Linked DNA regions of Rattus norvegicus. The protein of the gene in region 3 purifies or fractionates together with the protein of the main gene of each other region. This does not show direct contact. Links are inferred from orthologs where the notes say so. Each region holds a gene or a part of one and is shown on either strand. Other genes may lie near its edges.

Evidence for each region.
Region 1: the proteins of Exoc5 (region 3) and Exoc8 purify together in Homo sapiens (affinity purification with mass spectrometry; 5 studies listed by BioGRID and IntAct, counting the BioPlex papers as one, with this or other methods). This does not show direct contact. The link is inferred for Rattus norvegicus from reciprocal best matches to the Homo sapiens genes EXOC5 and EXOC8.
Region 2: the proteins of Exoc5 (region 3) and Exoc2 fractionate together in Homo sapiens (co-fractionation; 4 studies listed by BioGRID and IntAct, with this or other methods). This does not show direct contact. The link is inferred for Rattus norvegicus from reciprocal best matches to the Homo sapiens genes EXOC5 and EXOC2.
Region 4: the proteins of Exoc5 (region 3) and Exoc1 purify together in Homo sapiens (affinity purification with mass spectrometry; 4 studies listed by BioGRID and IntAct, counting the BioPlex papers as one, with this or other methods). This does not show direct contact. The link is inferred for Rattus norvegicus from reciprocal best matches to the Homo sapiens genes EXOC5 and EXOC1.

The regions. Positions count from the first base shown.
Region 1 is NC_086037.1:69,752,077-69,756,015, forward strand, and holds Exoc8 (exocyst complex component 8), read right to left. Parts: upstream 2,801-3,939; 5' UTR 2,647-2,800; coding exon 496-2,646; 3' UTR 311-495; downstream 1-310. Other genes in the region: DNA-dependent metalloprotease SPRTN, read left to right, coding at 3,177-3,397. UniProt on the Homo sapiens protein: Component of the exocyst complex involved in the docking of exocytic vesicles with fusion sites on the plasma membrane.
Region 2 is NC_086035.1:33,713,732-33,717,755, reverse strand, and holds the start of Exoc2 (exocyst complex component 2), read right to left. Parts: upstream 2,801-4,024; 5' UTR 2,660-2,800; intron 1-2,659. UniProt on the Homo sapiens protein: Component of the exocyst complex involved in the docking of exocytic vesicles with fusion sites on the plasma membrane.
Region 3 is NC_086033.1:24,821,442-24,824,941, reverse strand, and holds part of Exoc5 (exocyst complex component 5), read left to right. Parts: intron 1-1,663; coding exon 1,664-1,758; intron 1,759-2,770; coding exon 2,771-2,918; intron 2,919-3,500. UniProt on the Homo sapiens protein: Component of the exocyst complex involved in the docking of exocytic vesicles with fusion sites on the plasma membrane.
Region 4 is NC_086032.1:32,011,328-32,015,347, forward strand, and holds the start of Exoc1 (exocyst complex component 1), read right to left. Parts: upstream 2,801-4,020; 5' UTR 2,670-2,800; exon of another isoform or gene 2,456-2,669; intron 1-2,455.

The sequences.
Region 1 (3,939 bases), on a different chromosome or scaffold from region 3:
CCCAATTTGGCTTGCTTCTTGAGTACATGACACAGGGGCGCTACACAGCAATGACCGTTCAGAAGCCATTTTGTTGAACTGGAATGCTTCACAACTTAAACCCTGTGGACTTGCATATTTTTCTAGGCAGCACAGAAGTGCAATGTTCCAGGATGTGCTACTGTGACAAGTGTGTTTCAGGTTAAAGAGTGACCTGAAATGCTGCTGTGACCATACACTCCTTAAAGAGTTTAAAAAAAAAAAAAAGCACAGTATGTGCTCTAATAATCCCTCTATGTGGGAGGGAGCACTTAACACATTATCTTTCTTCTTTTGACTGCATTTTTAAGAGGGCACTTTTATATGCTGTTTGTGTCTGAGGAATGTGTTGATATTGTGTAATGTGAATACAAACAATGCATCTGTAGTACATGTGTGTGTACAGACATACATACATACATACAGACAGACAGACAGACAGACAGACAGACGCACACACAGCATCGAACCAGAGCCTCAGACCACAGACGTGGTGCTCTCAGGATTCACCCGCAGGAGTCTCGATGCATTCCGAAGGTCCTGCAGCTGCTTGGCAGGCTTCCCCACACCTTCCTCAAACCTCCTCTCCACCACTGGGAGGACAGTGTCGTAAAGGAAGGATGCGTTCTGCCGGATGAAAGTCTTCTTCTCTGGGTCCTGCTCACAGCGCAGGCTGTAGTCCACATGCTGCACAGCAACCAGTATGACTTCCACCAGACTCTCCAGGAGCACCATGTGTAGCTCTGGGAAGTACAGTTTCAGTGCCTCCTCCAGGAAGCCCATGGTCTGCTTGGTGAAGGCTACCACAGTGTAGCTCAGGTTCACCCAGCAGTCATCCCCCGTATACTGCTCAAAGTTACTGACCCCGCAACTTCTCATCTCCTCCTTGAGCTTGCCCAGGGCCTCAGGAGTCATCAGGTTCATCCGACGCCACATCTCCTCCGAGTTTCGGTGCTTGGTGGCTTCAATGATAATCTCCTTGTAACTGAGCAAGGCCCCCTGGATGTCCTTCACCAGGAGGGCATGGATGATGAAGGTGAGATCCAGCCCAATCTCTCCCAGCTGCTGGCAGTGCTCCTTGGCTACCTTCACACACTCGGCAGCAGTGGACAGGCTCTCCTTGCTGTCAAAAACCTGCTTGCTGAAAGCATCCACGAACATGCCCATGGCAGACCTTGCCCAGACCACAAAGGCAGAGTAGCAGCCACTGTCCGTGCCTGCAAAGTCTGTCTCAAACTCCCGTGCAGTCTCTAGGAGGCTGGTAAAGAAGACATGGCACAGCTTGTGAATATAGAGCAGAGTGGCGCCCTCAATTCGAAGCTGGCGGATGGCAGTATGCACAGCTGCCGCCCTGTTCCTCAGAAACAGCTCACAAGCCTTAGTGCACTGGCCGAGACGGATCAGTTGAGACACTGCCCTTCGAGTAGCCTTAGGGCCACCTCTCAGAGAGCGATCCGGGGAGAGCTCAAACACAAGCACCTCGGTGAGCTGTCGCACTCGTTCATCCACTTTGGCCCTCAGCTCTTTCACAGAAGGTGGGCTGGGCTTATCTTCAAGATAGTGATTTAATTTGTCCAGCAAGTCCACGGCACCCTCAAAGTCCCTCTGCGCAATACAAACATCCAGGTCTTCCGGCAACTCCTGGATCCACTCCATGGAAAGGTCAACCTTTTCCTCCTCTGCCTCCGGGGTGGCCAGTTCCTCCTCGGCCTCATCCTCAAACGGGTTGCTGCCCTTGGAAGTGACCGGTGGTGGCGCACGCAAGGCGGCTGCCTCCTCCTGCTCCCGTCTCCTCTTGTCGCTGAGCGCCCTCTTGGTTTCCTCCAGCACTTCCAGCCACTCGCGTTTAATCTTGGCATTTTCCGCTTGAAAGATTCGGCTCTCAGGGAACATGAGCAGCTTGAACATGTCTTTCATAGGTGGATTGTCTTTGACGTTGACCACAGCCAGGCGGTCCAGTGGGTAGAGTGCGTTGTAGCGGTACATGCCTCGCCGTTGTGGTAGCCAAGTGGCCACCAGCAGACAGTCGTTCATGAGGAAGCCATGCACTCGCTGCAGCTGGGCCATATGGTCTGCCTCGTATTCCACCAGGTCCCCGTTGTACACAAGGTACTGACCTGGTGTCTCCAGCAGGTCCCTGCAGCCCTCCACCTTCTCCAGCAGCGTGGTGAGCGTTCGCTGCTTGCCCTCCTCTCCCGTCCCGGGGCCCTCGCGAGGGACTCCGGCCGGCCCCGGAAGAAAGCCCGCCTGGGCCGCCCCGCGCTCCCGCGGTCCCGCGCCCGCCGTGTCCTCACCCGTGGATGCGCCCGCGGCAGCGGCGGGCAGCAGTGCCAGCGGGATGCTCTCCAGACTGCTCTTCTGCTCCGTCAGCAGGTGGCTCAGCTGGTACATCTCGCTCTCCAGGTAGGAGATCTCGCGCGCCGTCTCGATGAACTGCCGGTAGTTCTGGTAGACGTTGCGCTTCAGGTTCTGCGCCGTCTCCTCCGCCAGCGCCTGCACCCGCTGTCGGTGCTCCTGCAGGTCGCGGTCGCCGTCCGACTGCTGCGACAGTTGCTTCACGTACAGCCGCGCCTCGAAGCCCCCCGACTCCAGCTGCCTCCGCAGGCGGCTCGCCCCGCTGTCCGACATGGCTGCCACCCGCCCTGCTCCCGCGGCCCGCAGTGGCTGTCACTCGCCGCCTCCCGGCCCCACCCGAGCCCGGTGGAGAAGCGGTAGAGGAAGCGGGGCGGGAGCAACACCCAAACGCCTGCGCCGGGGCCGAGCGCTGCATTGCGCCTGTGCCAAAGTCGAGACTCTCACACTGCGCCTGCGCCCGGGGCGGAGTGTCGACGACGCGCCTGCGCGGAAACGGCAGCGTCTTAAGGCGCGTGCGCGGACGGGCCAGTACGGAAGTCAGAGGAGGGTCGGGCACGGACCAGACTTGACGTGAGGCGCTGGACCTCGGCGGCGGTCTGGAGACAACTGGCTTCCTGAAGCCGTCCCTACCCCGAGCCCAGCGTTCCTAAGTCTGTGTCCGCGGGGCAGAGCCGAGCCACCTTCGGTTAGGCGTTCGAGGCGAGCCCGCGCGCCCTGACAGCGGGGCCGGGAGGTCTCGCGAGATCCGTACGCCTCACGAGCCCGACCGGCGTCTTGGGAGCGGCTGAAGTGAGAGTATCGGGATGGACGAGGATCTGGTGGTCGCGCTGCGGCTGCAGGAGGAGTGGGACGTGCAGGCGGCGCGGCGCGCGGCGGCGCGGGAGCCCCTATCGTTGGTGGACGCGTCCTGGGAGCTGGTGGACCCCACCCCGGACCTGCAGGCGCTCTTCCTGCAGTTTAACGATCGCTTCTTCTGGGGTCAGCTGGAGGCCGTGGAGGTGAAGTGGAGTGTGCGCATGACACTGTGAGTGCGCCCACGAACGGCTCGGAACGTAGGGAAGGGCAAGGGCGCTGAGTTGTCGTTGGTGTGTCCCCTCCTCGTGGCCCAACGGCTCTCAGAGATGTACCAGCAGGATCCCTCATCTACCCACTGAGTTTGAGAAATCCTGTTCTAGATAATAATCTGCCCTGCATATACACCGTCACATAGCAGCCTGAGCTGAAGCAGGCTGAGACGTAGCGTACTTCTAACTTCACATCGGCCCCGTGACAAGTCCCGGTGCGGAGCAGAGAGGATAACAGTGGGTGAGGGTGTGAGGGTGATCAAGTGTTATTAAAAAGCCCTCTATCAGGGACTTTCGTTGAACTGCCCAAGGATAAGGATTTGCTGGCTCTTTTTTTTTTTTTTTTTTTTTTGGAGACAGGGTCTCACTATGTATCTGTGGCTGCCCTGGAATTCACTCTGTAGACCAGGCTGGCCCGGAACTGGGAGATCCTCCTGCATCTGCCTCCCACGGACTAGGATGAAAGGCCTGCGCCACCATGCCAGGCGAGGGTTTGTTTTTT
Region 2 (4,024 bases), on a different chromosome or scaffold from region 3:
GGGTTCGGTCCTCAGCTCCGGAACAAAAAAAAAGAATATTCAAGAAGCTTTTTTGATGACCAAGTGTTATTAGGGGAAGGCAGCTGTCAAACAAGTTGGTTCCAAATGCCATGCTTGACCGAAGGCTCTCAAATAACCAGAGAGCATTTACCCATGCTCCCTCACTGCCACTCAGAGGCAGCCCAGATTACGCTTATGCTGATCATTGTGAATAGTCACTACCAATCGAGTTCTACAGGGAGTCGTGGGGGTACACACCTACACGCCCCAGAGTTCATCACTCAATGCTTCCTCGTACCACTTAGTAACCAAAGTTATTTCCCACCCGATCAACCTCAAAATCACCTACTTTAATGTAAGCCTAAAACTCATCTACTAGATAAACACTAAAAACATAATCTGTGTACTATGCAGTAGGCGCTACTAGGAGCCGGGGCCTGATAAAGGTGAGTACAGAAAAGCCGGGCATAGATAGTGGTGTGTGTCTTAGCACTGAGGAAACTGTGCCACGAGGATCACTTCAGCCAAGCTGAGCACCTGAGCAGAGTGAGACCAGAAAGTGTGTGAAAAGGTTAACTAAGAGACAAGTTTATCCCTAGCGTTTCCTACGTGGTAAGATCCTGCTGTTGCTATACACTTAGAGATTCTATTCAACACCAAGTCTTTTACCAGAATGCAGATTCTTAAACTGTGGGTGGCAATCCTGTAGGTTATACTGAATATAGGTAACGGAATGTGGAGGTAGAGGGGGAGAAAAAAAAAGTTAAGTCTTCTGAACACATGGGGTCAAAAATGAATTTAAAAATCAAACATATAGTGAATCAAAAGTGTTACTAGGAGTACTCAATCCAACTTTATCACAGCATTGGTTCTGAACTCTCTCTCTCCCTGTCCACGGTGCCATGTCACGAGAGTATTAAAACCAAACATACAAACATACAATTCAGAGTCAAATCACTTTATGTTACAAATAGCAGTCGTTTTCACTGTATGTTACTAGTTGAACAGAAAATATCTCCTATAGGCTCCAAACCTCCTAACACTGTTTTAGGTAGTTTTGAAAGCTTTAGGATGAAGAGCCTTGTTGTGAAAGTGAGTCGCCAGGGGGTGGGGACTTGAGGTTTTTGAGCCCAGCCCTACAGCCTGACTTCTACCTGCTTCCAGTTCCTGAGGTGTCCCAGGGCACAGTCCTGCCACCATGGAGCTGCCTCACCAGCATGGGTGATATAACTCCAATCTATAAACCAGACTAAGCCCTTCTTCCCTTATGCTGCTTGGCAGGAACTTGGTTACACCAATGGAAAACGAACACACACTATATATATATACAAAGTGTTCTGTTCTTAAAGAAGAAGAATGGTTTGATTACAGAAAGCAAAGACTATATACATTTCCCTACCTGGCCTTCCTCAGCATGCAATCATCAGATAAATGGGTCTTTGACTCGTGTTGTGTCAGGATTTTAATTTGAAGAACTGCTGTTTAGAGTTGCTGATTTGAAGTTCTAGAAAGATCATCAATGAGTTTTGCTTGGGAGTAAGGACAAATTTGCAACAATTTCCAAAATGTTCCTAACTGCACTCCTACCATTTTGTACTATGTATTTATATGGAGCAATGTTCCCAGTACTGATGATTAGAAAATTAAAATAATCAGTTCTGAAAAGCATTGAAGATGCTCAGTGTCCTGTGGTTACAAATATTAAACCAAGACTTAACTCTTTATGTAAAGAGAATTGAGTTATCCAACTCTACGCTTTCATCTTTAAAAAATGATGTTTACATGTATACAAAAATAAAATGCTTTGTGATTTACGGTTAGTGAATGGCTACATTGCCTACCTATTTTATAAAGTCATGAATATTCTTTATAAGTTTTAAGTGGCAAGAGTTGAAAAAGCCCCGTACAGCCTTTACAAATGTTTTGAATGTAACCTTCGAGGTGTCACCTTTGGAGGCTAATAGTTCAAAACGTCTGGAACAGTAAATTAAATAATTGACAAGGGAAAAAAAAGACCACTTTTCAATGTCCCCAAAAATTCTTTCCAACAAACGGAGTAAACAATCTGTTCCCTTGCTTAAAAATACTTTTACTGAGTCAAACAAAAGAGAAGATGTAAGAAGCAAGCTCGCATCAGCGTCTTTCGAATCACAAATTTTTCACATTTAGATCTTCTTGTTTTGACTGTCAGTTTTGACTGCCACTGGCGGAATCTGTTACCAAGCCTGGGCCATCACATGCTAAGCTTTATAAACAAAGTCTTACTATGCATTAGTAGGGAGATAACCAGTAGCCATTAGTTTTTTGGTTTTTTGTTTTGTTTTGTTTTGTTTTTTGTTTTGTTTTTTTTAGTATAAGGCATCCAAATGGTCTAATGAAGGTGTGGCTGAACACGCACTTGCTACTCCCAGAGTAGTAAAGAAACCACTCAAGCTTCCCATCCGCGTTAGTATGGGGGGGTTACGCGGATTAAAAACCAACCCTCCATATCTGCCGCTCCTCCCGGGTCCAGCCCGGAGGCCAGCGCGGAGGCGGGTGGGAAGACTCGGCCCGCAGCTCCCAAACGCGCCCGGGTCCCTCACGGCGCCGTCCCAGGTCGCTCAGCCCCGACGGTTCGGTGCCCTGCGGTTCCACTCCGGGCCCCGGACGCTACACTTACCTGCAGCTTGCAGGCGGCGTCAGGTCCGGGCCAACCCGCTCCGGGCCGCAGCAGTCTGCCGTAGGGCCGCACTTCCGCACGCCGCGAGCGCCGAGCACGTCGATCCGCCGCCTAGCCGAGCGCCGAGTCCTGGATGGGGGGGGGGGGAGGACTAGACTATGGAGAAGGGAAATTAGATGGAGATGACAGACAGGATGAAAGTGGAGAGGGAGGGACGAAAGGGAAAAGGAGGGGAAGGGGAAGAGGAAGGTAGAGAGGTGGAAAGAAGAAGAGGAATTGGTGGGAAAGGGAGAAAAGGAGGGAAGCAGAAAGGAAGAGAGGGAGAAAGTGAAAGGGTGGAATTAGGAGAAGAAAAAGAGGGGAGAGGTAAAGAGGTACAGTGGTTAGGGTCACAGTAGATATTGCTAAAGAGTTCACAATGGGTCAGGGATCAGCTCCAGGGCTGAGGCAAACCTCAATCAAAGGACTGCATCTAGCCAGGAGTACCCCGCCTTAAGGGATCTCACAGGTCAAAGCTTTGGAGTTCCAAGGCTCTGAGAGGCAAATTGATTTGCAAACTCACAAGACCCCCAAATTATAGAAATGACTTCCATCTACAATCCCAAAGCCCTAAGCTTTGAGTGTACCCTCCTGTGTGCTGGGCTCTAGAGAAGGCCGGCTGAACAGAAGCAGGAGTTCCCCTGTGACTTCCTCCATAGCAGTCCAAGCAACAAAGGACAGTGGCAGAAGCATAGAACACGGGTCTACTTGTGGTTGTGTTGCCATGACTGTAGAGAGAAATAGCTACAGGGTTCCCATTATCTAAGACCATAACAGCCTAACCTTTCTAACTCTGAGACCCTTTCATACAGTGCTCTGTATTGTGCTGACCCTCCCACCCCACAACCATAAAATTATTTTGTTGTTACTTCATAACTGTAATTTTACTACTGTTATGAATGCAATGTAAATATCTGTTTTCCCCTGTGAAATGATCATTTCCCCCAGAGAAGCTGAGAGCCACTGGCCTAAGCTCTCTTTTCTTTCTCAAGTATCTTTATGTGCAGCGTTATGCATTCACTCAGTGCATACACTGAGGAGGGTGCTGTTCAGGTACTACGAATTAAGAGATATCATATGGCTTCATTTTGCTCTCCTATTTGTGAGAAGATATGTCAAAATGTTTCCAGAACCATCCCTTCTGAAGAGCAAGGGAACACTCCATACATGAGGGAGAGGCTTGGCAGCAGAGGTCCTAAGGAAATTTGGTAAGAAATCTCTGGCAGTCGCATAGCCTTTCACAGTGAAACAAAACTCTTCAGGTCTCAGTGACTTGACGTTTATCAGGTAAGGCTACCCTGCCAGCAAAGCCAGAATGGTGGCTCT
Region 3 (3,500 bases):
ATTTCACCTTACATTCTGGGCAGGTCTAGTGGTAACATATTCTTATCTGTGTGTCTGTCTCTGTCTGTCTGTCCACCTGCCTGCCTATGTTTTAAACTTAGGAACATTGTACACTGTAGCCGTCTTCAGACATACAGAAGGCACCAGATCCCATTACAGATGGCTGTGAGCCACCATGTGGTTGTCCAGAATTGAACTCAGGACCTCTGGAAGAACAACCAGTGTTCCTAACCACTGAGCCATCTCTCCAGCCCTTCTTAGATCTAGAAACATTTCAATTTCTCCCTTGCTTTTGAATGCTGATGTTGCTGGCTATAGGATTCTTTGCCTTTTTTTTTAATTTTTATTTATTTTTTTTCTTTTTCTTTTTTTTCGGAGCTGGGGACCGAACCCAGGGCCTTGCACTTGCTAGGCAAGCGCTCTACCACTGAGCTAAATCCCCAACCCCTTATTTATTTATTTATTTATTTTTATTTAGTACTTTGAACTGATTGGCATTGGCTTCTAGTGTGATAAGAAACCTGCTAATAATCTTAGGGGACTCCGTGGCCTCATCTTTCACTGCCTTCACAAGTCTTTGTCCTTCAGAAGTTTGAAGGTGCTGGGATTGCAGGCGAGCACATTGCCTAACATGCATAGTCACTAGTTTTGATTGGACCGTCTACTTCAGTAACCTATACAGTTGTAATATAATGATGCTTCTTCTGAGAAAATGTAATATGCTTGTTACAGTGTATACAGGTTTTCTCTTTTCATTGAATGTTGCTTTATGTGATTTTTTTTAATAGAACATAGCTTCTCATCTAAGTTTACCTACTATGTTAAGTACAATTTCATTAAATATTTAAATAAATAATTTTGAGTATTACACATAATGCATAGTTACTCCAGAATTGTTTATATATGCATTTCCTTGCAAATTTATTTTATTTTTAATTTCTGTTTAAAATTTTGAGACAGGGCTTGCTATGCAACCAAGACTGGCCTTGAATTTGTTATGTTGCCTCAATCTTCAAGTGATCAGAGAATAAAATTATGAGGTTAAAGCTCTGAGTGTGTGTAACACTGTTGATTTTACCAAAACAGCTGCCAGCTGTCTTCTTAAATGGTTAATCTATTAACATTTTCCACCGTAATGAAAGTGCAAATTTCAGTTTACTTTCTTTTTGCTACATTGAGCTCTGTAATTAAAATATATTTCTCTGCTTCTTAGATTAAAAAATAATAACTTGCTGCATGTCATATCTTTAATTCCACCAGCACTGGCAAGGCAAAGGCAGGAGGATCTCTGTGAGTTTAAGGTCAACCTGGTTGTCATAACAAGTTTCAGACCAGTCAAGGCTGCATAGCGATATGCTATCCCCCTCATCCTCACCTCTTCTCCCCATCCCGAAGAAAGAGAACTTGTCTTTGTTAATAAAACTGTACATGTGCTTTGGTTTTGGCTTGAGATGTTTGTTGGTTGGTTGGTTGGTTTTGTTTTTTAACAAATTACCTTTTTATGTCCTTTCCTCATTTTCTATTTGGCTCATCCTACTAGTCAGTAATGCTGTTCTAATATTTTAGCATCCTACTTTTCTTTAAACAATTGGCTTTATTTATTGAAGATTTTTAAACAACGACAACAAAAGCCCTTTTAAAATATGTTTATTCTATAAACCAGGAGCCTTTTGTGGCCGATGAATACATTGAACGTCTCGTGTGGAGAACCCCGGGAGGTGGTTCTAGGGGTGGACCTGAAGCTTTTGATCCTAAAAGGTAAACTTAACAAAACAAAACAAAACAAAACAAAACAGTCTCCATATAGTACTACGAATTGTGTTTAGAGTAGAGATGACTGTATTGGAATTCTTTTGAGTATTCATATAAAATAATTTTAATTAATAGTTTGTTTCCCACCTCAAAAATTTCTTGAGCTGGAGAAATGGCTCAGTGGTTAAGAGCACTGGCTGCTCTTCCAGAGGTCCTGAGTTCAATTCCCAGCAACCACGTGGTGGCTCACAACCATCTGTAATGGGATCTGATGCCCTCTTCTGGTGTGTCTGAAGACAGCGACAGTGTACTCATATATAATAAATAAATAAATAAATCTTTTAAATAAAGTTTCTTAACAGCATTAGAAGTCTGAAATAGTGTTTTTCCTTAGCTGATTGGGTAAAAGGATTTTATCCTTTATTAAGAATTTAATTTTTCCACTTAGCATTAAATTAGAAAAGGCTGGTTATACTTGTGGGTATGGTATTGACCACCTGCGATCTAAGTACTCTAGAGGCTGAGGCTGGGTTGTGAGTTGGAGGTTAGCCTAGAATACATAGCAAAACCCTGATCCTGAATAAGCAAATTAATAATAAGAAAAAGTTGACTATGTTCTTTTAAATTTAATAGCTGTAAATCAGGGAAACAGTCAATAAAGTCTATAATGTATACAATTTTTGTTGTACGTTTGTCTTCTTGAATTTTAAATAAAGTAGAGCTTGTTTGGATATTTAATGGGGATTTGTTCAGGTTTTTATTTACCTTAGAGATAATCCGTTGCAAAGTCAATAACAACTGGCTGTTTTTCCTAATGCTATGTATTGTTAAAGTCACGTGACCTGTTCTAAGTGGAAAGAAAGCTATGACATTAAATAAATTGCAACAAGATGCTGTAAAGAAAGTGAATACACTTGTCCCTGTCTCAGAGGACCCTTACTAAAACCTTCATAAAACTGGTCTGTTCCTTATGGCTAATAATAGGCAAATTGATTGTACTATTACTTTCCTCTGTTAGGTTATTAGAAGAATTTGTGAATCATATTCAAGAACTACAGATAATGGATGAAAGGATTCAAAGGAAAGTAGAGAAGTTAGAACAGCAGTGTCAGAAGGAGGCAAAGGAGTTTGCTAAGAAGGTACAAGAGCTGCAGAAAAGCAACCAGGTACACTTAGCTCAGAAATGAGCGGCTATGAACTGTAACATCTTCATTCTCTTACACACAGTTTCTTCAACCCTTTTACCTTAGGTCTTTGAAGAGCCAAGTCAAATTGTATTAACGTCTAACTTTGTTCCTGTGGAATAAGATATTAATGTTTGTTTGTGACTGCCTAGCATTGTCGTTGGTGTGCTACTAGATGGGTTCTAACCCAGTGCTGCCCTGTTCAGGTTAGGGCGGTAGATGCTTAGAAGTGACCCTTGCTTCCCACCTCTTAATTGAGTAAGCTTTCACAAGACTGACTAGTCCCTAGCCCTGCATTTTGAGAACTACCTTACTAGTATGGATATTTAAGGAGTCATTTTAATATAATTTAATCATAAATAAGACCAACCTGGAACAAGTTATTCCCGAGAGCAGTAGTTCTTAACCTTCCTAATGCTGGGACCTTTTAAGACTGTTTCTCATGGTGTGCTCACCTCCAACCATTAAATTGTTTCGTTGCTACTTCATTGCTGTAATGTTGCTATTGTTAAGACTCATAGTGTAAATATTTGATATTTAGGATATCTGATACATGATCCCCCC
Region 4 (4,020 bases), on a different chromosome or scaffold from region 3:
AGGACACAAGTCCAATCTTGTTAGTTTCCAGAACTCATTTAACAAGCAGTGCATGGGGAAGCCTGCCTGCAACCTCATGCTGGGGAGGCAGAGACAAGCAGATCCCTGGAGTGCACTGAGCAGACAACTTCACCTATGGTTGGAGCGCCAATCTGGTGAGAGACCACGCACAAGAAAAGGGGGCGTGGATGGTGCTAAGGAAAAACATGTGCAGCCGCCCTTTGCCTATTGCAAAGATGCACACCAGAAACCCAAAAGGTTTCATACCATCAACCACTTGGGAAATACGACTGACATCTGCGGCAAGAATCCTACTTTCAACTGCTGGGAAGGCTAAAAACCCACAGGACACACAGCAGTAAGCAATGAGGAAGGGGCCTCCCCCACCCAGCTGGGAGGATCACAAATGGCAGGGAGGCTTTAGAACAGTCCTGCAGTCCCTTCTGCAAGTCAGGCATGCAACTGCTGTTATGATCCAGCCCCCGTCAACCACGGATTTAAAAAATGCCCTTCAGCTGGATCTTACGGGGGCATTTTCTCAATGGCGGTTTCCTTCTTTCAGATGACTCTAGCTTGTGGCACACCCCTTAATGTGCCCTAGGGCCCAGGTGTGACATTAAAGCGATACTCTATCCTATCCTCAAACTCAAGTGGACACTGCAGTTTACTGTACTGTCTCTGGGCTTTGTTCACTATTTTCCTCATTCTGAAATTCTTGTCACTGCAAATTCCAACTCACCCTCAACCATTCTGATAACACACTGCATCTTCTTTGAAGCCTTCCTCCTCTTCTGTTCCCCAGCTTACCTCTACTGGCAGCAGCTCTCCAACCAGTGTTTTCTAGCTAGTGCACTCTAGACCCTACTAAAAGCAGTTCTCTCTCGGCAAGGATCTCATCTTATCCATCTTTATATTCCTAGCATTTGCCACGAGGCACACAGCGAGTGCTTAGTAAACATTTAGGGAAATACTGTTGCACTCAACAACAGACCAGGGATAGTTCCCTCCAAGTTACCTCTTTCCAACTTTTGAATCTATAAGAAAACAACCCAGACTCAAACTCTGCCCTAGTTCATTGCTTCCTCCATGCCAACGTGAAATCTGTTAGCGTACGCAGTGACTTCTCCATCTACATATAATTTACTTTTCCCCCATCTGGCTACCAAGCAACCAAGATTTACTGCCTTTAAGTAATAGCACCTGTTACCTTTTTCTTTTTTTAAAGTTTCTACAAGTTCCCTGAAAAACTAGTAAATAACTTTAAACCAGTCCTCATTATACCACTGTTCTCAAGCCATGCCTTGCATTCAAAGCACTGTGTTGTTTCTGACTTGAAATCTTTGGTTAAGCACTTTCCCATGCAGGCCAGATTATCTTTTCCCTATTCAAACGTACATTTCTCCATTTGGATGAAGCTGACTCAGTAAAAGTCTTAATCCTCATTGCTCTTCCCATGCAAATGTCTAGAGCACTTACTGTATTTACGAGACAAGTGCTTGCTATCTAATGGGGACATGAGTATCATCTCCTAGGTCTCCACAGTCATCTCTTGGGAGGAGGAGGAGGAAGAAGAGGAGGAGGAAGAAGAGGAGGAGGAGGAGGAAGAGGAAGAAGAGGAAGAGGAGGAGGAAGAGGAGGAAGAGGAGGAAGAGGAGGAGGAGGAGGAGGAGGAGGAGGAAGAGGAGGAGGGAGGGTGCTCTAACACAGGTTTGTGTGTTGGGTACTTACTACAACCTCTTGGTGTAACCTGTTTTATTGAAACAGTAAAAACTGGTAAACAGAACAATTAACTCAGGCCAATATTCACCATACTAAAGACTCCGTGCATGGTAAACAGCCAAACAGCAGAGGACTGGTTATAACTCATAAAAGAAATTAGACGTAATTCAACAAATATTACTATTCACTAAGTGCCAGGTAGCACTCTGGGGGTATAGTGGAGAATCTGAAAGACATGAATGGGATGATGTAGAATTGTAACAGTCAGTCTTCTTTGGGGTTAGTGATGAATTCTCCAATGTTTATACAGAACTTTATATTATGCCAGTATTATTAATAGTGGCCTTCACAACTATTTACCAAGTCTAAAACCCACGCCCATATTCTGGGTTCTCTTTAGTTCTTCGCCTTCTAAAACCTCAAGGCTGCCCGTTACAGAGGCAGCTAACCTCTGTTCATCGCGTATCTTACTTCCTGCACCTTGATAGGGCCATCATTACACTGTGTGTCAGTGCAAGTGCCTTAGTGGGTTGGGCCCATCTACTGCAGTGACATCTCAAGACTTGTCATCCAAAAAACGAAAACTGCTCAGAGGCTGGGCAACGCCCTTTTAAGATTTATAAGGACATATTTGTTGATTTGGACCGGCAGAAGCCAGGTCACGTTCTCCTCTCCCAAACCACGCTAATTTGGCAAAAATGAAATCTGTCCCGGATGGGCGGAACTGAGGACTGACCCTAGGCTGCCTCCGGGCTCCGTCTTCTCCCAGAGCCCAGGACAGGAAGAAGTAAGGACTCAGTCCGGGCTCTGCAGCAGCGGTTCTGCAGCCCTGGAGGGCAGCAGGGTGGGTGGGCCGTGTCACTTGGGAGTGGCCGACCTGACGCAGATTGAACACTGCCTCCACTTAGGCTACCACCTCCAGGACCGCCGGTCCCCGGCCGGAAGCTTACCGCGAGGCCGGCCGGCCGAGGTTGGTGCTCCAAGACGGACTCTACAAGGGCGCCGGCAGCAAGAGCAGCTATGAAACGCTTTTCATTGAGCTGGGAAAAGAAGCGGCCAGAAGCCGCCACTTCCCGTATCCGGTCACGTGCCGCTCTGTACCGGAAGTTGATCTTGTGGAGCCGGAAACGGAGACAATGGAAGGGAACAGATTGACCAATGGACTTGGAGGAGGTCGAACGTTGCCTTGATGGGTGGGACCGGGCCAGACAGTGGGCGTGGAAAAGGCAAGGACCGAACCCGCAAGCTCGTAGACTGGTGGTTCTCAACCTGTGGGTCTTTCGCGGTCAAATGATCCCTTCATAGGGGTCACATATCAGATATCCCATATATCAGATATTTACATTACAATTGATAACAGCAGCAAAATTACAGTTATAAAATAGAAATGAAATAGTTTAATGGTTGGGACCCACTGCAGCATGAGGAAATGTATTAAAGGGTTGCAGCATTAGGAAAGTTGAGAACCACTAGCATAGATAACCACTGATTAGAGGAGTTGATAATGGTGGTATTTTCTTTTTCTAGATGTACCCATTCTGATATTTGTGGCAAATCATTTGAGAGCTCATTAAATGTTTTCTCCTTTGCATATGTAAAATCCTGTTAACTCTAGATTCTTCGGAGCACTTCAATGAGTTAAGTCAGAATCTCTGGGAGAGGAACCTAGACATCACTAGTATCCTTAATTTCTCCCCACTTAATTCCCATAACGTGTTTAGGTCTAGAACCATGTCACTTACGCACTTCATACTCTACCGGGCGGACTGCGCAGACCTTCCTGGGTGCTTTTTAGAAACTGCACCCGCCGGCTCACATCAGATACTGAAACAGAATCTTTGTTTTAAAGGTGATACTTGTTTCAGTGTGAGAGGCATGAATGATGCCAAGATTGTGAGCTATAAGACAAGTGATTCATTTAGGCCACATCCCTGGCAGGGATTGAGTGCTGGGAACTTTGATTTCCAGGTACAAAGGCCATTCAAGCTTTAATTCTATACTGAATGAGTTCATAATGAGGTAGAACTAGAAAAGGTGATTGCGAAGGCAGGATAACATACTCTACCAGGATGATCATCTCCTCCTCCTCCTCCTCCTCCTCCTCCTCCTCTCCTCCTCTTCCTCCTCCTCTCCTTCTCTTCCTCCTCCTCTTCCTCTTCCTCCTCCTCTTCCTCCTCCTCTTCCTCCTCCTCTTCCTCCCCTCCCCTCCTCTTCCTCCTCCTCTCCTCCTCTTCCTTCTCCTCCTCCTTCTCCTCCTCCTCCTCTCCTTCTCCTCCTCCTCCTTTTCCTCTTCCTCCTCCC